Oreochromis niloticus: one gene and its partners. The protein of the gene in region 2 interacts with the protein of the main gene of each other region in a pairwise test. Links are inferred from orthologs where the notes say so. Each region holds a gene or a part of one and is shown on either strand. Other genes may lie near its edges.

Region 1 (7,343 bases), on a different chromosome or scaffold from region 2:
AGGTTGTAGCTACAAAGCAGAAAAACTCATACAGCTACCTAACCCTAGCTTTCTTAGATACCGGGAATTTCAGATGTCCCAGCCTACCTGAGGGGCCCCAGTACAAGTGACAGGTGAGTCATCAACACCGAGGGCCAGATTCTTCAAACGCTGAGCAGTGGGACTCCCAAACTCCTTCACCAGGTCATTCAGCGGACACAGCTGCAGGTCTTTTACACTGACCAATCCCAGGGCTTGAAGTCTCTTAGCAGTTTGGTGACCCACCCCTGAGAATACAAGATGGCACCACAAAATATATCATCAGACATACTTAACACATGTGAGACACAACAAAAATGCATCAGTGAGTTTTGGATGAAAGCATCTTTAAAAATGCTCCAAATGTTAAGGACAACAGTGTAACAACTATAAGTCATTAAAACGTAACCCTTGTGGTGTCCTCGGGTCAAAAATGGTCCCTAGGTGAATGGCAAACAAGTATATGGGAATCCCGAGGACACCACACGGGTTTCTCGATGCATATCATGTTATGTACTTCTGTTCACCTACCTACCATCTACTGATGATTAACTATCTTTTAGAGCATCTATACCTGGCACTTTGCGGACACTGCCTAGGCAGCCCATGATGTCACTGATGTTTTCTGGGAGCAGAGTGGTTTGCTGGTTGGGTTTGAAGGTGCCTGAAACCAGTTTGGCTAGCAGCTTGTTTGTGGCGATGCCAGCACAGCCGGTCAGGCCCAGTTTGCTATGGACGGCTTCTCTGAGCTCTCCTGCAATGTGTGAACCTAAAGCCAACCTTGGGTAGTTACTGGCTTTAACATCTGCACCTGAACAGGAAGGGGAAAAACTGTGGGTATGAGCACACGTGATACAGTTTAGGATCTGCAGGTGAGCTGTTCATGAAGAACGAAACTGAAAGCACTATGCAAATATCTCACGAGTTTGAGCTATTTTCACGAGCCATTTCCCAGTTTCAGTGGGCCAGATGTACATCTACACTTGAGAAGCACGAATGTGACTTACTTGGATGATTGTAGACGTGTCCTTTAAATGAAAAGTCTTCAGACTTCACTGTCTGTGCAAGCCTTTGTTCTACCATCTCAGTGACGTCCATGAAGTTTTCATCAAATCCAAGCCTTTCCACGAGAGGACAATAAGACATCAGCAGCTCTGGATGGCAAACGAGAAAAGGTAAATATATACAAACGGTTATCAGATGAAAACATCAATTCCATTTACTCCATTTAGTTTCTAGTAACCACCCAGGAACACCAGGAGGGTGGTGAACCAAACAGTGGGTTAAAAACTGTTTACATTCTTGAGGAAAACAAATGCTGAAATGTAGAAATGGGAGATTTTAGCAGTTGAGTCAAAAAGGGTTGTTTTTATTATGAATTGTGGCATTTAAAAGTTGCCCAAATCATGATTTTCTTTAAGAGACCGACTCCAAAATTTGATACCTTGTTGCTTTAAGCAGCTCACTATTTAATTTGCTTGCTACAAGCTGAAAATAAGTCCATGTCATAGAAACAAACACTAGTCACCGGAGAAAAACGGCATCCCAGATAAACTTTAAGGGTCATGTCACCATCTGGCATAAATGGCTAGTCAAAAGAAGTTACAGCAAGGCCCTCTTGTTACCCACATCTCTCAGTCATGTGAAAAGTTTTTACAGGACTCTATGTAGCCCTGTAAAAAACTAAGCATACCACCACATGAATACCTCCATAGGAATTAAGAGGGTAAAGTACCAGCCAGGTGCTGCAAATCAAATGCAGGTGATTATTTTTTCATCAGCAAGTGTGACCACCTCTATAAAAAGCATTCAGCACAAATCAAGGATGACTTTTTTTTTTCAAAGCCAAAGTGGAAATATTTGGCTGTAAATCAAAGAAACAGCATATTAGCGCAAACACCTTATACCAGCTGTCAAGCATGGTGCTAATCTGGGCTTGTTTTGCAGCCACAGAACCTGAAAAGAAAATCTACAGCAGAATGGCTGAAAAAGAAAAGAATTAAGATGCTGCAGTGGACCAAAGTCCAACCTGATTGCTATGGTGCGACCCTAATCTCCATTTTTAGCACTTGGTCTGATCTTCCAAGCTTCTTTTATTGTAGCAACTACAATTACATTTTCTCAGAGTGCACTTTAATGTCATACTGCACACTACGACAAAAAAAATTACTTTATTTACTACAGAGCACTGTTGTCACGTCACACTGGTGTGATGCACTGCTTACCTGTCATTTTATATGACATCTCTCTGTAGTGCGTGAGGTCTTCTCCTTTAACCAGCACCAGCTCAGGACATTTCTCCTTAGCATCAGTCACAGACATAAGCTTGTTGACACCCCTCTCCCTTGCCACATAGTTACAGGTCACTATGATGTACTTCTGCTGTATACCTGATGATATGAGAGTCATTTAGAAGCTTTGGCACAAATATTTTTTACACTTTTGTCTTTTGCAGCTTTTATAGCATGCGAGTTTACCTAACGGGACTTCTCTCAGTGCAGGGTTTCTGATCATTTCCACCTGAGCATAGAAGCAGTCCAGGTCAAAATGCAAAATGACTCTGTGTGCAGGTACTGGCGTTTTACTGATGCTTGGTCCTGAAACACACATTATATGTACAACAGTTACCATATCTCGAACTCTGAAAGTCATATGAAAGCAAAGAGCAACTGTCAGATTTCAGTTTCAGACTGCCTAGCTTAAGTCTCCAAGTTTACCTGAAGCAGCAGCCGCAGGGGGGCTATGTGTCGATGAATCCACGAAACTGTTCCTCCACTCGTTTTCATCCTCCTCATCCTCGCTGTTTTCCATCTCAAAACTCGCAAATTTAATAAATTTTGCAGAAATATAGACTGCTACGACTACTGCTGCTGTTGTTGTCGTAATAGTTCTTTCATTGTAGGTCCCAATTCAGTTACGTGCAACGTTGCCGTCTCTCGACGTGGAGGGGTTACTGCAACGCAGCAACTACAAAAAAAAGTTTCTATAAATGCATTTTTTTTTTTAAATTTGCAAACATAATAAATAAAATCAAAATTTTTAAATGTTACGGAATAATGTGTTATTTGAGGGTATTAAAATGAGTTTTTCAACAGTCGTCACGCGACCTGAGCAGAACCTATATAAACGAGGCTGACGTCACCTGACGTTAATTTGGAGGCTCCAACTGCTAACGTCCGTTCGTTAATTATAAAAAAAAAAAAAAAAAACTGCGAAAAAAATTGCGCGAAGTGGCTAATGTTTCCCTCCTCGGGCTTTTTTGCCGGTATAAACTGCCCCTTCTCACAACATGGGCGTTGTGAGCGGCCTCACTGTTTATACAAACATCCTGCAAAGCAGGCGCGGGACTGGTTTGCTGTCTCATTTGAATCATCCAAAGTGGACTTCACAGGTGAGTGCTTCAACTATGCCAACTGACTTCGAACACTTGTGCATTAGCTTGCTGTTTTACCTGTTAAAAGGGTTTAATTGTTTAAGAAAACCCCCATAAACCCTGGGAATTATAAGAAGCTTTTAAATCGATTAAGAGGGTTTTTAAAGTTACAGGTGTAACATAAAAATTAAGCACATTATTGTAACTGCAGGTAAGGACAAGTGTTTTCTTAAAAAAAACTACCTTCTACCTTGTTTTCCTGAGTTCTACTTTCTCATTAAAGGGGCACGATAGGATCTTCACACATCATATAGCACAAAAACTGCTTAAAAACTAAACTGCAAATGATCAAGCTGCCACTTACATTTAAGTAAATACTTATCCTATTTCATGTTCACGTTGAACAGAAGGACAGAGGCCTTATACGGGCTGTGGAGATGACTGCCTTCATGAGCTGGAGCGGATCAACAAGGAGATTGAATCTGTAAGGCATGAGGTGGAGCAAGAGCGGAGGCGACTGTCACGCTACCAGACTGTACAGGCAGACCGCATAAACAACACGCCTGCTTCCAAGCGTGAGTCTGGGAGTAAAACTGTAGACAGAAAAGCTTATGGGCCATCGTCTCGCACAGATTTTACTAAAGCACACCAGCGAGGAAAGAAGTATGTGGTTGACAACTCAAAACCGAGGACTGATTTGGAGTATGACCCACTATCCAACTTCTCTGCAGACTTGCTCTCTCTCAGCTCATTGACAAAGGAGCAGAAGTTGAAAAGTAGACAAGTAAAAGACAAAAGTCCAGAAAGCACTGCCCCATGTATTGATAAAGAACCATTTGCGTATCAGGCACCGCTTTCCCGATCACCATCTCCGGAGCCACTTGATGTCTCTTCTGAAGGTGAAGACCTAATTATTGATGTTCCTCCTTCTCCTGAGAAAACGGGTCAGAGAACTGCTAAGTCTGTAGCAGGTAAATCCTCTCAGGTGACAGCAGTGGAGGTAAAGGGGGGGAAAAAAGAGCCTAATTTACCTAATTCTCCATCACCACACAATAAAATCACTCTGTCTTCATCAGATTCAAATAAAATTCATCATTATTCTGTTGAAAACAGTCAAGACTTACTGACTATAAGTCCTGCCAAAGAGTCTGAAGATCTAAAAAATGGTGCCAATGTAGTGGACTTAACAGATAGTCCAGACGACCTTGCAAATGAATGTCAAAAAATTACTAAAGCAGTATTGGAGAAGATCCCCAAACAACAAGATCACAACCTGAACAATCCTCAGTGTGAGCTGCCCAGTATCTTTGAGAAAATGAATCCGCAGAAGACGCCCATGAATTTACTTTTTTGTAAATCTCCAGCTGCTAACTCATCACGCAGGCAAGTGCCTCAGGACAGAGTTCAAAGTCACAGGTGTTCTGAGAAAAGTACACCCTCAGCGGTGATGGGAAACCAGAAAAAGTCAAGCAAAATGTCAGGACAGACACAGGGAATAGCTGCTGACGGTGATAAGTTGCCTCTAGAGCAAGCAGAACAAGGGTCAGAGAACAGTGAGTTTGAGGGTCGGCATGTTTTGTCAACCTATGTCAGCTCACAATTCGGAGCCGAACCGTGTTCTGAGCAGAATTTGGTGATGGTAAATGATGAAGAGGTCATACTAATCAACTCCAGCTCTGATGAGGAGGAGGAAGGGCCCAACCATTCAGCAGTGGAGCTCTCAGACAGCGACCCAATGGAGGAATGCTACAGGATCTTCATGGAGGCAAACAATGAGGGAAAAGGAACTGAAGAGACTCCTAGTGCATGTGTAAGTAGCCTGTAGAAACTGCAAATTCATTATGAAGAAATTCTTTTGAGAATGTAAAGATTTTTTTCTCTCCCCTTGTATTTCTTAGTTAGGGGCTGTGGATGCAGAGAAGATGGAGGTAAATGTCACATCCAAGGGATTACCAGGAAGGAAAAGAGTGGCTCATGAAGCCAAACAAACAGAGGTACGTACAGTCCAGTCTCATAGCAAAATGTGTGTTTAGACAGGAGATGTCCTTTTTTTAAAATTTTTATAATTTGTTTTAAACTAATGCAATCCAAAACAGTTTTTATTGCCTAAACAGTATTTTAATACCCACGCTACAAGAGTTTTTAATAATGATAAAGAATTTTAATTGAATAATGTATTAAAAATAATATGACAGAAATGTGAAAAAATCACCATGCTTGGCAGATGAAAGGTCACCCTCAGGAAGATTAAAAAGTAGCGTTGGACATTTATGTCCGTAATGACTCACTAGAAGTCGTGGCCTTTTTTAAGATCTGCTGTGACATGATGTAATTTGACTAATCTTTACCCAGGATTGCATAATCAAAATTAAGCATGTGTTTTGAATGACCTCCTCTGTGCAGCAGCCAGTAGCTAAGAGCAGGCCTCAGCCGCAGGTTTTGGTTCCACTCTGTGAGCCAGTAACTTCAGGATTTGGCTCTAGATCCTCTGTCAGTTCCAAAACCCAGCAGGTTCAGCAGAGAGCTTCCACTCTGACTGCCTCAGTTAAAGGTGGGCAGGCTTTTGTTTCCTCCACCTCTCAGAAGAAACCAGAGACCCAGTTTTCACCTTCTGTTTTAACTCAAAACCCTGAAACCCTGCAGCCCGCTCCTGTGCGCAATGGTAAGTATCGGTTGGCGGTAGTAGTGATGATTGTTTAGTTCTTAGACACATTAAAAAAATTAAAAATGCAAGAGCATGATAATGTGTAAATGAAATTGGATTAGATTCAGATCACTGTCATTGAGATAGTATAACTCAAAAAATGAAATGCAGTTTGGCATCTAATCTGAAGTGCAACCAATGTATGTACATATGTATATACAATAATATATACAAAAACCATTCCAATAAACGAAAGCACTTCATTTAAATTGTATTTTTGTGTTTGATATAGAAAGTTTTATCACTAAAGCATACCTGTATTGCTCTATGTAGCTCTAGCAGCATTTCCAAAATTTCTGTGCAAGTTTGCATCTTGTGTATTTTTTCTTTTTTAATTGGCACAGTACAAGTAAACCATGTCTAGTATGAGTATGCTCTTAGTAGCTTTTCCTCAGTACACATTTTTTCTGTTCTACAGCTTTTGTGAACTATATACCTTTGGGACCAGCTGTTATTGAAGTGGGCAACAACTTGCATTTGATCCTTCCAGACGGTGCCTTCCCTGTGCCCATTTCTTCCAATTCCAATCCAGTTACTCCAGTTTTAACTCCAATAAATCAGGTTCACACAAGGGCCCTTGCTATCAAACAAACATACCATCCACATGCAGTTACTCCTATGCATCCTATGCAGCGATGCCGCCTGACAGCACCAATGCTCATTCCTGCTGTTGCACGCAGACCTTTACTAAACTCTACTTTTACATCTGCATCTTTACGTTCAAGTTCAACTATTTCTACTGTTCCTCAAAGTTCTGGTCAAGCTTCTGCAAAGGTAAGAACTTCAACTAAACCTGGATCGTCAGTACTAGTTAAATGCTTAACCCGCTTGATAAATATTAAGTGGTTCTGTCCCCACAGCCGTTGCCTGCTAAACGAAAACTGAAGCAGCAGTGTGAGGCTGCCAAAGACAAAGTGCCCCATGATGTCAGACAGCGGTATGTCAACATGTTCACAGAGGAGTTCCTCAAAACGACACCCAATGTTAATGATGCCTTTGAAAAGGTAAACATATGCCACCATCTCCTCATGAACAAACCCTAGTGTGGAAAGAGAAACATGTATGTATTTATTTTTTCTCTGATCTTTCTGTTGATAGGCTCTTGCTGAAGAGAAGACGGTGTACAATCGGAGTGCGAACAAGCTCAAATATATGAGTGTTGCAGTGAATGCACTCAAGAGGCTGAAGAGTCAAAGCACTGTTGCTACTAAAGGTGAGCACTTCATGGAAAAAGCTGTAGGAAATGTT
Region 2 (7,320 bases):
TTAATGGCCAGGAGAATCTCCCTTATTACACTTTGTACCTTAAAAAAAGAAACATCATGGGAAACTTTGAGATGTGTATCTCGTTTGAGGCAGAGCGGTGTGAAATGCAATGATTCATAATGAAAACCAAACACCCGTTTCTGTTACCACTGTCCTAAACCAGCTCCAGCACATGTTTAATGCAGCATCAGGTGTTTATTGACAGTCATTTGACAAATGATGTATTAATGTAATCATATGCTGTGAAATGTTTCTGTTTCTCTTTCTGTCTCATTGGTTTTTCCTTCTGTCATCAAAACTCCGCTTGATGTCAGAACCAGAAGGTTTCTGAAAGACAAAAAAAGCTCCTCACAGAGCTTCCCCGATTTCTCAATTGCCAAAATAGCAAATGTTTGCTACCAGTATGTGGCTTCTTTATTTTGTTAAGTGCTCAATTTGTGGGGAAATTCTCCATTTTAGTCATTTTTTTTAATAAAAAAATTATGATTCACTACATTTAGGAATTGTCAGAATGCAGAAAAAACAAAAAATATGAAAGAAACCATGGTCACAGCAGAAAACTACAGATTAGATACTTTTCACACATCTAAATGAAAAACATCCTGATACTTACATGTGAAAGGAAAGTTTGTTTTCTACAAGCTACTGGTTCTGTGAAGTAGTAATGGTTTTCTGTATGACTTTATCAGCATCTCACATCACTGTGGAGGAATTGTGGTCCACTCTTCTTTACAGCGTTGGTTGTAAGGAAGACGGTTTGTGTCCATCTGGGACATTGCAATATCTTGATGCTTTTGTTTTTCTGCCATTCTGTTATAGATTTGCTGCTGTGCTTGGGATCATTGTTTTATTGCATGACCCAGCCATCACAAAAATGGGTGCATGTTCTTTTAGAGCAAAGAGGCTTTCTCCCGATAGTCCTTCCAAAAAAGACAAACTTGTTCAAACCTCTGATTTTATAGAGGCGGTCATACTTACTGATGATCAGTCAGTTAAATGCATTTGATTATCACTGCCTGACTACTTTACTTTAAAAGTAGAATAGGAGGCAGAGCCTTCAGCTTCCTGGCCCCTCTTCTGTAGAACCAGCTCCCAGTTTGGATTCAGGAGGCAGAACCCCTCTCTACTTTTAAGATTAGTATTAAACCTTTCTTTTTGATATAGCAGATAGATCACGTCACCCTGAAACCTCCCTTAGTTACAATGGACTAGGTCTAGGCTGCTAGGGGATTCCCACGATGCACTTCTTTCTTGTTCATTCACCTTTTTCACTCACTATGTGTTTACACCTCTCTGCATTGTATCATTAGTTGTTATTTATCTCTGGCACTCTTCTACAACGTGTCCTCATTCTGTCTTTCAGCCCCCACCCCAACTAGTTGTAGCAGATGGCTGTCCCTCCCTGAGCCTGATTCTGCTGGAGGTTTCTTCTCATTAAAAGGGAGTTTTTTCTTCCCACTGTCGCCAACTGTCCTTGTGATTTGGTGCTATAAAATAAATAGAGTTAATGAAATTACATATACATATTGATTCTGGTTTTAGTAAGCCTGGCCGGATATTACTTGGTATCATTCAGCCATCAAACCTCATGGAATTACTCTCTCACTATCTACAGCATTTGTGGGCATTGGGAAAATGTCATATTTACTGGTTTCAGTTTTCTATGATTTATAGGATTTTAAACGTATGAAACACGCTGCCTCTACATCTAGCCATGATTGTTCTGTTTCTACAGAAATGCAGGATGTTACGGTGTAGTGAAAAATAAACACAGAACACACACAAATGCAGAACAAAAACTACAAATGCCATATTTACTTTCAGAGTGTTTATGGAGAAGTATACAAGTACAAAGACCAGTGTCTTTGTGGATCTAAAGAAAGCACATGACAGGGAGCTTAGAGTGGAACTGTGGGACTGCAGGAGGAAGTCAGGAGTGGCAGAGAAGTGGTGGAGGGCATGTATGAGGACAGCGAGACAGTGGTGAGGTGTGAGGTATGAGTGAAATGTGGGGATGGCATTACGTCAGGGAACTGACCTTCCTACTTAAGATGGTGATGGACAGGCTGACAGATGAAGTCTGGAGTCTCCTTTGACAACGGGTGTAGGGAGCAGGTGGAAGACAGCCTAGGTGGAGGTATGCTCTCGAGAGAAGACGAATGAAAGTCAGTAAAAGCGAGACAGAATAGGTGTGTGTGTAAGGAGACGGGTGTAATGGGGAAGCACCAAAAAGCAGAGGAAGTTAAGATAAATGATCCAAAGCAGTGGACAGTCCACAAGAGAGGGGAAGAAAGGAGTGCAGGCAGGGTGGAGTGGGCGGAGACAAGCTTCAGGTGTGATTTGTGACATGATAGAAGAAAGAATGAAAGGGAGGATTTACAAGAAGGTAGGAAGACCTGCTATGATGTATGCTTTGGAGAATGTGGCACTAACAAAAAGACAGGTGGAAGATTTAAAGATGTTAAGATTTTCTCTGGATTAGAAAGGAGGGCATGATGTAGCAGATGAGGATGCTAATGACAGGGTGAGATGGAGGCAGATGATCTACTGTAGCGACCCCTAAAGGGAGAAGTGGAAAGAAGAAGAAGACTCACAAGCTGTTTGAGTTTTTGGGCACACAAAAGTTTAGACGTAATCTCACCTCTCTGAGAAACCCCTAAATAATCTTAGGATTGAAACCATTTGTTGAGAAAATGTTTTTAATATTCATGAGAAAACCACCAGAATGGAAAACTTGTTATAATATTTAATATATCGCCTCCCCCCAAAAATATTCTGATAGTTAATTTATGAAATGGATACAGTTTACAACAAGCTGGTCTCAAATTTAATGTCTGGAGGAAAAATCCAGGAGCAAAGGAGCAAATACTGCGTCAGTCCTTATCTTAAAAATGCACCTGGTAGACTGATCATCAGGGCCATCTACTGAGCACTCAGAGGAACAACAGCAGGTGGCAGGATGACCTACATGACCCTGAAATTAATTATGCAAAGTGTATAAAATTGACTGAGACTAATAAGGCTTTATTTGCATTAGCATGATAAAGTGTAATCCATAGACAGGCAGGGATATAAGTTTAATTGAAGAACGCTGGCAAGAGTGGGTTTTTTTCTTGGTGTCAGCTACTTTCCCTTCCCTTCTTCCTTGCTCTGTGTCATGCTTTGCTGACTCAAAGGCTGTGTGTGTGTGTGTGTGTGTGTGTGTGTGTGTGTGTGTGTGTGTGTTCTTGGGGATTACCTGGGGAGACAAGTTTAATTTAAAGCCCAATTAAAGGCCAAATTAAAGAGCCCTTATACATGTACGCTAATGCTCTCTTACATGAGTATTAACACAAATTTATTCAGTGTTGTCTATATTAAGTAGCTGCGCCTCTACAGTGTAATAGAGTCACATCCATAAATGCCATTAATGGGACTTGATTACACCGACACTATGAAAACATGTAGGGTAAAACCTGTGATGTATTTGTGAAGAAGGAAACTCAAATGCATTTCAAGGCTTCAAAACTTAGTTTCAATCTTCAAAAGCCTGTAAATGCTTTCAATTCTGTCTGAGATGGGTGTTGTTCCAACTGTTGTTCCATCTTTCTGTATGTTTCCATGTTTAATGTCTTTACTTATATTTATAAATAGACTGTGATCAACAGGATTTAAGAAGAGATTATACATAAAATATAGAAATTAGTAAAAGTATTTCTGCGTTATTGTAGCTACATTGTAATGAATCCAGCCCCTTTTGGCCACTTAAAACATCTTTATAGAGCTGTGATGTCATAATTGTTGCAATTTATGCTGCCTTCTTGGCAAGATCTTTAAAAAACACTACATTTTTAATGTCAGTGAGACTTTTTTGCTGGATAAATAAAGAACAAATAAAAGTAACTCTGCCAAAGATTAATTGCAGATTGTGACAGGAATGTCGTTTCTGTCTCAAAATGACTTGATATCCTCAGAGAGAGATAGGTTTGTATGAGTTTATAGGCCAACAACTTATTCAGAGCTGTTTAAATCGTTTTTTGCGATCGTTTTTTGGCAAATACGGGAAATCACTTTTGGGTTTGTGTCTTTTACCTACTACACAGAAGTTTCAGCTCACACGTTTCTGATTTATTTCCTGTAAGTGTTTAATAATTTAAAACTTATAAACCAACAAGTCAGCCAATTTGTTCCTGGTACAACCCCCTTTTAAAAATTCCGCATATATTTCCTCGCAGCAATAACGTGACCTTTCTTGTTACTGTTCTTTCTAAGAAACCCTCTTTCGCTCTGGGCAATCATAAACACACCGCGCCCTTTAATGGAGCCCTTCATCACGCCCAGTCGAGCCTGTTTCTACACGCCTTTGGCCTCTTCCGTGAAAAAAAGTCGTACTGCTGTCAGCGTCAGACCACTCCCTCCCTGAATTTGAACGGAAGAGCAGTTTAGTCTTGTTTCCCCGTTACAGTGTTTCCCACAGACGTGTCTTCTGAGAAGTATGAGCGTAGCAGAGGATGGCGGAGGCCAGCGCGCTTGAAGAGCTACAGTCGGAGCTCACCTGCCCGGTGTGTTTGGAACTCTTCCGTGATCCCGTGATCCTTGAGTGCGGGCACCACTTCTGCCAGGTGTGCATCATCCAGTGCTGGGAAGCTAAGGCGGACGAACTCTCGAGTTGCCCGAAGTGTAGAAAGTCGTGCGCCCGGAAACTGCGACCCAACTCGCTCCTGTGCAACGTCGTGGATAGTGTGCGCAGAGCCCGCGCCATGGACGCGGCCTCGGGGATGTGCGTGTGGGACCACGAAGGTACACTGGAGATGCCCGAGGACCGCGAGCGGGGTTCGAGCATGAGCAGCGTGGCCTCGTCCATCGGGCACTGGCCACGCCTGGGAATGGGTTTGGATATGTGCGAGGAACACGAGGAGAAGCTGAAGCTCTACTGTGAGGACGACCAGCTTCCCATCTGCCTAGTGTGCGGAATGTCTCGAGACCACAAGAGCCACAATGTCATCCCCATTACAGAGGCTTTTGAAAACTACAGGGTACTGTTTTATTATTGGCTCATTTTTTAAGGCTCCGGGTCTTCCAAAACCTTAAATCAGACATATACAGACAATGTTTTGATTTGACCAACATAATCACCAAATTTGATTTCTTTTTCCACTGTATTTTTTCTGCTCTACAGTGTAACAGCTGGAGCTTCTAGATAAAACAAGGAATCAGAGTTTCAAGGAGTGTCATACTTTACAATGCTTACAACTGGACACTCCTCTTATTGTACTGCAGTACTGTATTCCCTCTCAAGTTTCAAGTATTCCTTTAAGTCATGTCAAAACTACTTTTTTACTAAAAAAACCCCTCAACTGCTCTAATGTAGCAAACAGGCTTTTCATAGATGTAGCAGTTGTGCTTTAAAGAGCACACTCCCTGTCTGCCCCAGGAGTCTTTGGGTATTTTTGTGCATTACAGGAATTCAGCAGACCTGTGTGAACTTCACTACCTTTCAAACCTGGCAGCTGACCTTCATCATGTTGTTTGGAAACCTGCTCTGAGAGGCTTCTCTGTGTGTCTTAACATGTTTAAGCAGTGCTAAATTCCAGCTTTGTTAGATTTTTGGGGTCAGGGCGCTCAGTTGAGGATTGGCGGATGTATGACTCCCATTAAAGACGGGACGCTGTTCAGACTGATGCACGAATCAAATTAACTGTTGATTGAAGCGTAATCTGGTTTATATAACCTCTTTTCAACAAACGTTTTTATGTGATTATCTGTTTGTCCTGCAGGAAAAGCTGTCTGTGGCTCTGGAGAGGGTTCAGGTGCAGACAGAGGAGGCCACACTCTTCCAAAAACAGACCAATGAAAAGATCCTCCTCATTAAGGTATCGTGTCTCTGTGTGTGCTGGCTGTTTCTTTGTGAAGCACTGTGAAAGAAAAACACGCCAGTGTGTTTGTCCTCTAAATATAACCAGAAATTCTAGCGGCCAGGCAACATTCTGACGCATTCCTCCACCTTTACCTGTCAAGACAGAGGGATGACTGGCAGTAGTAATGACTGGTGGTACTAACGACTGGTGGTGACACACCATGTTCTTACTCATCTTTGTTTAGACGTGATAATTATCAGGAGCTCATCCTGGAATAAAAAGGGAGGTTCATGAACATTCACACACGTCATTTTGTGTTTGTCTTCGTCATGCGCTCTTCTTTCACATGTTTTTGCCATTCATGTGCCCTAACTGCTTCATGTCACACAGCTTGCGAGGGAACTCAGCTGATAGAGTTTCGACAGGCACAGGAAGGAGTTCACCGAAACACTCGCTGTGTGTGTTAAACACAGATATGAGGGTAGTGTTAGAGAATGCACTGGAGCATTTCTGCAGTGGCAGATAACTTCGTCTAGCTCTGCTCCAGGTTATTACAGACTGTTTCCTTTACTATCTGTGTGTTTAAATGTGTCAGCGGGTGTATTTTCCTGTCTGTCTGTTTGACCCAGTTTACATGCAGATTCACAGATTTTTTTTTCTTCACTTCTCCCTTTCTCTGTCAGTATGACAGGATGTGGTAGAGCAGAGGAAGTTTGTCACTTTTTCTTCTCTGTGTTAAAAATGCAGACATACCTCTATCTATCTATCTATCTATCTATCTATCTATCTATCTATCTATCTATCTATCTATCTATCTATCTATCTATCTATCTATCTATCTATCGATCGATATAATCATTTGTGCCACATGACATAAAATGTATCGTCTCCTCATAACAATTACTGATTTTTCCCATTTCATGAACCACTTCTGGTCTGAACAGTCACAGTGTAAAGTTGTTGATTTAATCTATTGAATATAAGATTGTAGTCATATTTCCAGAGAAGAAGAAAAAATATAATTTTATGCAACAATAACAGTAAAATAGGACACATCCAGTTTTAGTGTCACACCATTACAGTCAATGAGAAGTAAGTGTGTCATCATTTTCACTGACATGCAACAGTTTAAAAAATATATATATTTATTAAATAGTAATAACTCTGTAATAATAAAACCCTATTAAAACAAAAACATGTAACAAAAATTTCAAATGTGACAAAATAAAACTGAACCCCACCGTTTGTCACAGCATAGCTCGGTATTTTTCCACCCCAGGAAGAGCTTAAAAAGACTCAGAGATCGTTATCATACAAACTCTAAAGCAGTTAAGCATTTTGAAGACAGACTTGGTTTCTGTCAGCTTTAAGGGGCATTTTAGAGTCTTGCTATTGCTTTAAAAAAGAAAAACGTTTTACAAATCAGCTGTGCTTTACCTACTAAGCACTGACAGGCAAAGTTAGTAACTAGTTAGTAACCATA
Region 3 (6,878 bases), on a different chromosome or scaffold from region 2:
CATGACTAGAACTTTGTAATAAGCTTTTGCAAAAGTTTTGATCTAATGGGCTGTTTTTCTGCGAGCTAACATCTGGATGTGGACACTTAAAAATATTGCCATGAGAACAACTATTCATCCAGCTGGGTTACCCATGTGATGTTTTAATCCACTTAAGCTTCCCAGTCTGATACCGGTTAAGCTTTCCTCTCTTACCTGCAGGTCATCACTGTTAAGATTTCATTGTGTTAAATGTGCTTGCAGTAACTAGGAGAATCTTGTTTAACAAGTGATAATAGCTTACATATTCTCATTAAAACTAAATACTCCCAATTCTAATGCTTTCTGTTTCCTTAAAGCACTCAGCATACCGAGTAAGTACAGTTTAAAGGTCAAAAGCAGTAAATAGGTGAGAATATACTTCACCTGTCAACTCCCAGTCTTTGACGCTCTCCCTGTCTCTCGTCACACTTCCCAGCACCTCCCTGGGCACCGGCTCCATGCGGCAGTCCATCTTCCCTTGTTTGCTGCTGTTGGATGTCTGCATGGCATTCTTGAAGAATCCGTTGATCTCCTGAAAGTCCATACCCTCCAGTTCTTGGGTCAACTCGGCCTGTTCTTCAGGGCTCAGCTCGTTCCAGAACTGCAGGAGGTGAGACTGGCCGGCGTCAGCCAGCTTCTGCCTGAGTGCGCTGATGTTTGGGTCCATGATCACCTGTGCTTTTAATTAACTGTGGGAAAAAAAGATTATGTTATTTAAAAAGAACTGCAAAAAATGCCCCAGGTCTCGTGTTGTTTTTGTATAAGCCGGTGGCCTTTATGTAAATATAAAAAAAGAGATGATAAGAGAAAGGTCACACTACAATATCCAAACATTTGCAGGGTTTTTCCCCACATATAGATCTGGCCTTCCGCAAGGACTTTATTAAAAATACTTGTAGCTTTTTTTAAACAGTGAGGTTTTATTCACCCTTAAATACATTTTTTGAAGTAAAATTGACAAAAAATTGCAGAAATAATCTGTTAGATAAGGTAACACAGACTCTTTCCAAAAAATTCATGTGGACCAGTCATATTTATTGGCACAGTTACCACTAAAAGCTCATTTTGAGCTCCCAAGAAACTGTATGTGTATATAAAAACAAATTTAGGATTAAAAAAAAAAACTGATGACATAGTCAATGTGCCTAAAGTGAAACATGATAAGAGTATCTTATAGCCCTGTGCTAGTTGTAGTGTTGGTAAAACAAGCACTGCTGGAATGCTTATCCTATTTGTTTGACTCCACACCCACATTTGACAGGAAGTCATCACAACACTAAAGGATAAGGTCGAGGACAGTTTCATGTTATACCACAGTGTGAATACTGACTCTTTTATACCCAATATGTTTGCTTATTATGATTGATAATTACAACAGTAAAATAATAGCTGTGTCACAACGCGATATTATGAACCCGCGATGTTTTCTAAGAGGGTTTACACCAAAGAAACCTCCTCTGTAAGTGAGCTTTCCAATGGGATGCTGACGACTAACACCACAGGCACACACCCTGAACTATCTACAGCTGTAATACACAATATTCATATATCACTTATAGTTAAAGTGTTCATACAACTTTTAAACTTCACGTCTCCAGCATGACCGCGACGTTGAGCCTGTAAAGAGGTAGCAGGGACTGCTGTGTTGACTCGGAGCACAGATAAATCCAGTGTTAGCACAGTGTAATAATACAGACTGTTGCTAAGAAGCGCGTAGATTTAGTGAACCACATTTTCAGTCACTGTATATGATAGTTAGCCGCGGTCTGCGCATCAGTCAAGCTACAGCCGGGCACATGTTAGCAAATATCCGCCCGACTGAGGAGCGGGAAACCGCTCGGCTCGCTGTACACATAGCAGATAGAAGTAAATCAAATATTTAACTCTTACCTCTCACAAAGACTCCTCTCCGGTGTAAGATCATTAATGCCAATCGATGACTACTCGCTCGCACTGGTCACTATACGCCTCCCTCCCGGAATACACCTCCTGCTACGTCACATTTGACGTGGCATCAGTGTGCGCGTGTGTATGTGTAGCCAAGTCAGAGATGCGTTCAAGTGCCACCTGTAAATTTAATCACTCTATGCTAGGAGTGTGGGGGAAAAAAGGCACGGGAGCCAGAATCTGTCAGGTGTTGTGCCAAAAACTGTTTTCTATCTATGTAATATATTTGCTTATATTGTTAAATAGACTGTAGTCAATAGGATTTCTGAAAAGGTTATATATAAAATAAAGACATGGCCTGTTTTGCAAGAACCTTTCTTGATTTTACCTATTTTATAATCACAGCACTCTATTTTGGCCACTTAAAATATCTTGAGATAACCATTTCTTGCCATTTCTGCTGCCCTCTTGGGCACATCTTTCTTGAAAAATACATTTTTGACGTCAATTTCCCTTTTTACCAGGATAAATGAAGGATATATACAAGTCCCCTTGCCAAAAACTGATCACAGCTTTTATTTTGTCTTGAAATCATGTTTGAGAAACATGTCTGAAATTTTCTTGTCAGATTATATTGCAACAAGTCATGTACAGCATTTTAAATATAGCTAATCGGTTTTTTTGCACCACACCAGCAAAGACTCTTATTACCTCTGGACAGCTTTGGAAAATGTGAAGCAAAATGAACGACTAACTGTATTTTTGTAAATTTTATTTATATAAATTTTATGGCTTCGCCTACTGAGCCCAAAGAGATATGTTGACAGTTTCTTTTAATTCTTTAATAAAGAGATGAAAATGCACTTCTTTTTCTGATATATCTGCATTTGCTGACATGTTTTGAATCATGCACGCTTTATGTCATACTACTTGTCATGATTTTTCACTATAAATATTGTATTCAAATCATGTAAAATGCAAAATATTTCTACTTGTTTTTAACAGTCTTTGATAGTCTTTAACAGCTTTATGAATGTAATCAAAGGTAAACCATCAGACAGGTAGAGACAGAGCAGTCAGCTTCAATGAACCAGCTAATGTACATATCTCCACTTGTGTGTGTGTGTGTTTATCTTCATTTTCTAACAATTAGCATATGAATTGTGTTTATCTGAAGAGAAAGCATGTATTACCCTTTAATTATTTCATGCACGTCCTAAAAAAAACTTACATTGAACCCCCCCCCCTACACACACACACACACACACACACACACACACACACACACACAAAAGATAGCTACAGAAATGAGATGGCAGCAGCCCTGCTGACCCCAAATCATTATTGTCTCTTATCATTAACAGAAATAAGAATAGCTTATTTCATACAGCTCTCAGCAGCAGCCTTGAGAGCTGTATGATCCAGCTGCTGAAACGTTGGCACAAAACCCGACTGTTGTTTGGTGACAGAGTCCATGGCTGACAACACAGCAGCTCCAAATAGGATCCTGTCAGGCTCCCAAATCCAGAATCCTCAGACACCTAAAGAGTTAGAGGGGGCTGCTCTGATAATGCCAGGTGTCAGACTGGATGATTATCAGCAGCACCCAGCTGATACTGTATACTCATTTCAGTTCAGTTCATTGACCTGAAAAAATAGCCACAATAGTCTGTTAATAGACTAGTTCTAAATCTAATTGTAAGATTAAAACACTTAATTTTAAAACGATAATCAACACAAACCAATTTCTGTGCTGACCTTTGAGCCAGTCAATACTAGGGTAATATGCACAAATTTCTGAGAACATGGAAGTACATGTAAACAAACAAAAGAAAAAAAAAAGGTCAATTATAAAAAAGTTGCCTTGTAAAACACGAACCACTGATCTGGAATGGTTGGACTTTCACTTCTGAGTTCAACCACGAGGGGGCGACCGTCTCTCCTGATGAGGCGGAAGCAGTTTGTTCTCATTTGAAACAATTTTGTTGTGGTCCTCCTCTTCCTCGCTAAAACCAGGCTGGGTGCTGCCCATCTGTTTGTTTTTCCCTGGTGGTCAGATTTTTGTGCGGCTACAGAAAATGAAGAAGTTTTTCGATGACATTAAGAAAGACATCAAATTTAAATCCGCGGGACCCGGGAAGAAACTAACGGAAGACACCAGGCAAATAACAAACTTTTCTTTTCTCAGCTGCTACAGCGCTAAGCAAAGCTAGCCGTACAGATAGCTATTTAACATCGGCTAAACGGGCTTATCTCATAGCTGACAGTTGGTCAGTAATGAGTACCGCTTTTCCGTCTCCCCATGTATTGAAGCTAACCACAACAGTGCTAATTTGTGTGTGTTTTTCTCACGGTTGTGCGTCAAACGGCTAACTGTTATATAATCTTGAGCACGGCGGGAGGCGACTGTATAATTTCAGGGTAACCTGACTAACAGTTAATCCCTGCACAAGCTTGTTTAGATAAAGGACTAAGCAAACCTGCTTCTCAACAGGAAGCAGAGCTGCTGTGATTCTGACGTATTTGTACTGTTGTCGTTGCTACTTAGCTTAGCACTGTCTTCTTCCTACTGTGAAGCCACAACACGTCTCCTCTTATAGTGCTGTTTCTCTCCTAATAACCCTACAGTGCCAAGCCTGAGGTGGTGCAGGGTAGATCCAGTAGCAAGCACGATCGGCATGCCCCCAGTGAAGGAGCCCAGAGGGCTGGAGCTGCAGCCTTGGCCAGGATTGAACAGCATCAGAAGCCGAAGGTTCACACCTCCCAGGACGCCATTAGGACCCAGGGTGAGACATGCAGCCCTGTTATTACACCAGGCGGTGTCTCAGTTCAAACACAGATGAACGTCAGCCTCCTTGTTTCAGTTGTGGGTATTAGGATAATTCAGTTGTGGGTATTTAAACATGTTTTAGACTCTGAAGCACTCTACAGATTATTACAGTTGATCTAGTTAAAAAAAGTCATATCTTCTAAATTTATTATCTGCTACTGTAATATATCCAGTACATCTATGAAAGAACAGACACCAGAAACATTTATTACCTCTGAAAAACCACATCATCAAAGAAGTCACCCATCCATTCATTTTCTGCTGTTTAACTGAGGCTGGGTAGTAAGGGCAGCAGCCTAAGCAGAGAAGCCCAGACTCTCCCCCCAGCCACTTCCTCCAGCTCATTTAGGGGGAACACAGGTGTTCCCAGGTCAGCTGAGAGATACAATCTTTTCAGCATGTCCTGCGTGTTACCTGGGGCCTTCTCCCAGTAGGACATGCCCAGAACACCTCACCTAGGAGGCGTACTAGTCAGATCCCCGAACAACCTCAGTTGTTTGGAGCAGCTCTACTCTGAGTCCCTCACAAATCAACTCCTCACCCTGTCTCTAAGGGAGAGGCCAGCTACCCTTCGGAGAAAACTACTGTCCAAGGTGTGCATCCACAGTGTCATTCTTTTAGTCATTACCCAGAACTTGTGACCACTGATCAGCTCTCTCTTCACCCTGCATCACTGCAGAAGTCTGTCAGTCTCTTGCTTCCTTCTCAGATATTTAAATTCTTCCACTTGAGGTAGCAAAACGTCCCTGAATCAAAGAAGTATTTATTTTTAAAAATCATTGTTTTTGTATTCATGGGAAAAAATGTGTCAAGTACATAATCTTTATGTTTATGTTAAGATGCTAAACCTGTGAAGTCCACGGAAAGTAGATATGATTAGATACTGTTTTACACTGATGAAGCAAATATATTCTGGTTATGACGGTTGTTTTCTACACGTGCTTGCAGTAAAAAGAGAACTCGAGGCCGAGGCAGCTGCACTTGCTGAAAAAGAAAAGGCAGCTGCAGCAGAGGTAAGTGTTGCATAAACCAGAATTGTGACACAATTTTCATGCTAATTTTGGTTCACATCGACTGTGCTTAACTTCATAAAATATTTCCATTTTTTCTTTCACTTTGAAGAAGACAGTATTCCTGATAAGCTGTTTTCACGGCTGATTAAAGTGAATATTCCTGTTTATACACAGCCTATCATACAGTGTCCAGTGTCAAAAAGGGCAGCATAGGTGCAGACAGCTGTTCATCTCAATGTCAGTTTCATAATATTGGAAAGTAGGTGACTTTCTCCAGCCAGACAGTGGGCTTTTGTTTTAGTCTTCCCTTATTTACCTTAAACCTGTTCAGTACTAAAATGTTTTTATCACAATCCTGGTGGTTTTCTTTAGTTGAAAAGCCAGAACTTTCTTTTTTTTATGGGCACCAATTTTTTTTTATATGCATAAAAAACCCTTTATGCTTGTCAGTGGTAGTGAGGCCTAATTGAGAATATGAGAAAAGGAGCCAGCTATTCATGTGAGCTGTATTAAATTCAGAGTAATAGCGGTGGCCTGTTGGTGTGGATGAAAATTTCATCACTGAATCTAACAACACTGAATGACATTTTCCTCCCAGGGCTCCAAAGTGCCAGTGAAAGATCCCACCCTTCTCTCAGTATCAGGTGTCTATTTCATCTGTCCACTAACTGGAGCCACATTAACCAAGAGCGAGAGGGAAGTACACATTAAAGAGGCCATTTTAATGGTATGTCTGAGGATGTTGGTTCAGTTATAACGTGTGTGCAGTCAGACTGAATGCTAATCTCGTTGGTGCTTTTGATAAACATGCCATTTTTGACTGCAGCGGTTTGAGGAAGATGAAGTCGAGGCGTCGGTTATGATGATGCACACATTTAACAAAGACAGAGAGAAAGTGAAGGCTGCGGTGGACATCATAAGCAAGTAAGACGCTGATGGTTATGTTAATTACATATGTAAATGTTTTATGCTGTTGTCACAGATTTTGAATATCTGTTCTAGACATCAAAGGTTTTTTTGTTGTCATTGTTTTGTTTCCAGATATGTTGAAAATATATGCAAGAACCCCACAGAAGAGAAATACAGGAAAATTAAACTCAACAACAAAGTGTTTCAGGTGTGTAACG

Evidence for each region. The genes of interacting proteins can lie anywhere in the genome.
Region 1: the proteins of nuclear factor 7, brain (region 2) and poli interact in binary tests that used the Homo sapiens proteins (3 or more experiments, as listed by UniProt). The two-hybrid records come from large-scale screens. The link is inferred for Oreochromis niloticus from reciprocal best matches to the Homo sapiens genes TRIM39 and POLI.
Region 3: the proteins of nuclear factor 7, brain (region 2) and ubxn6 interact in binary tests that used the Homo sapiens proteins (3 or more experiments, as listed by UniProt). The link is inferred for Oreochromis niloticus from reciprocal best matches to the Homo sapiens genes TRIM39 and UBXN6.

Annotation. Positions count from the first base shown.
Region 1 is NC_031977.2:28,645,195-28,652,537, forward strand, and holds the start of poli (DNA polymerase iota), read right to left. Parts: upstream 3,027-7,343; 5' UTR 2,830-3,026; coding exon 2,736-2,829; intron 2,616-2,735; coding exon 2,496-2,615; intron 2,409-2,495; coding exon 2,244-2,408; intron 1,173-2,243; coding exon 1,026-1,172; intron 830-1,025; coding exon 593-829; intron 267-592; coding exon 88-266; intron 1-87. Other genes in the region: RNA exonuclease 1 homolog, read left to right, coding at 3,256-3,409, 3,799-5,201, 5,290-5,385, 5,795-6,053, 6,514-6,869, 6,956-7,099, 7,194-7,308. UniProt on the Homo sapiens protein: Error-prone DNA polymerase specifically involved in DNA repair. Plays an important role in translesion synthesis, where the normal high-fidelity DNA polymerases cannot proceed and DNA synthesis stalls. Favors Hoogsteen base-pairing in the active site.
Region 2 is NC_031966.2:22,736,354-22,743,673, reverse strand, and holds the start of nuclear factor 7, brain, read left to right. Parts: upstream 1-4,303; 5' UTR 4,304-4,490; coding exon 4,491-5,015; intron 5,016-5,756; coding exon 5,757-5,852; intron 5,853-7,320.
Region 3 is NC_031986.2:39,718,798-39,725,675, forward strand, and holds the start of ubxn6 (UBX domain-containing protein 6), read left to right. Parts: upstream 1-3,852; 5' UTR 3,853-3,986; coding exon 3,987-4,069; intron 4,070-4,536; coding exon 4,537-4,694; intron 4,695-5,686; coding exon 5,687-5,751; intron 5,752-6,349; coding exon 6,350-6,478; intron 6,479-6,577; coding exon 6,578-6,675; intron 6,676-6,792; coding exon 6,793-6,868; intron 6,869-6,878. Other genes in the region: uap1 (UDP-N-acetylhexosamine pyrophosphorylase), read right to left, coding at 406-688. UniProt on the Homo sapiens protein: May negatively regulate the ATPase activity of VCP, an ATP-driven segregase that associates with different cofactors to control a wide variety of cellular processes.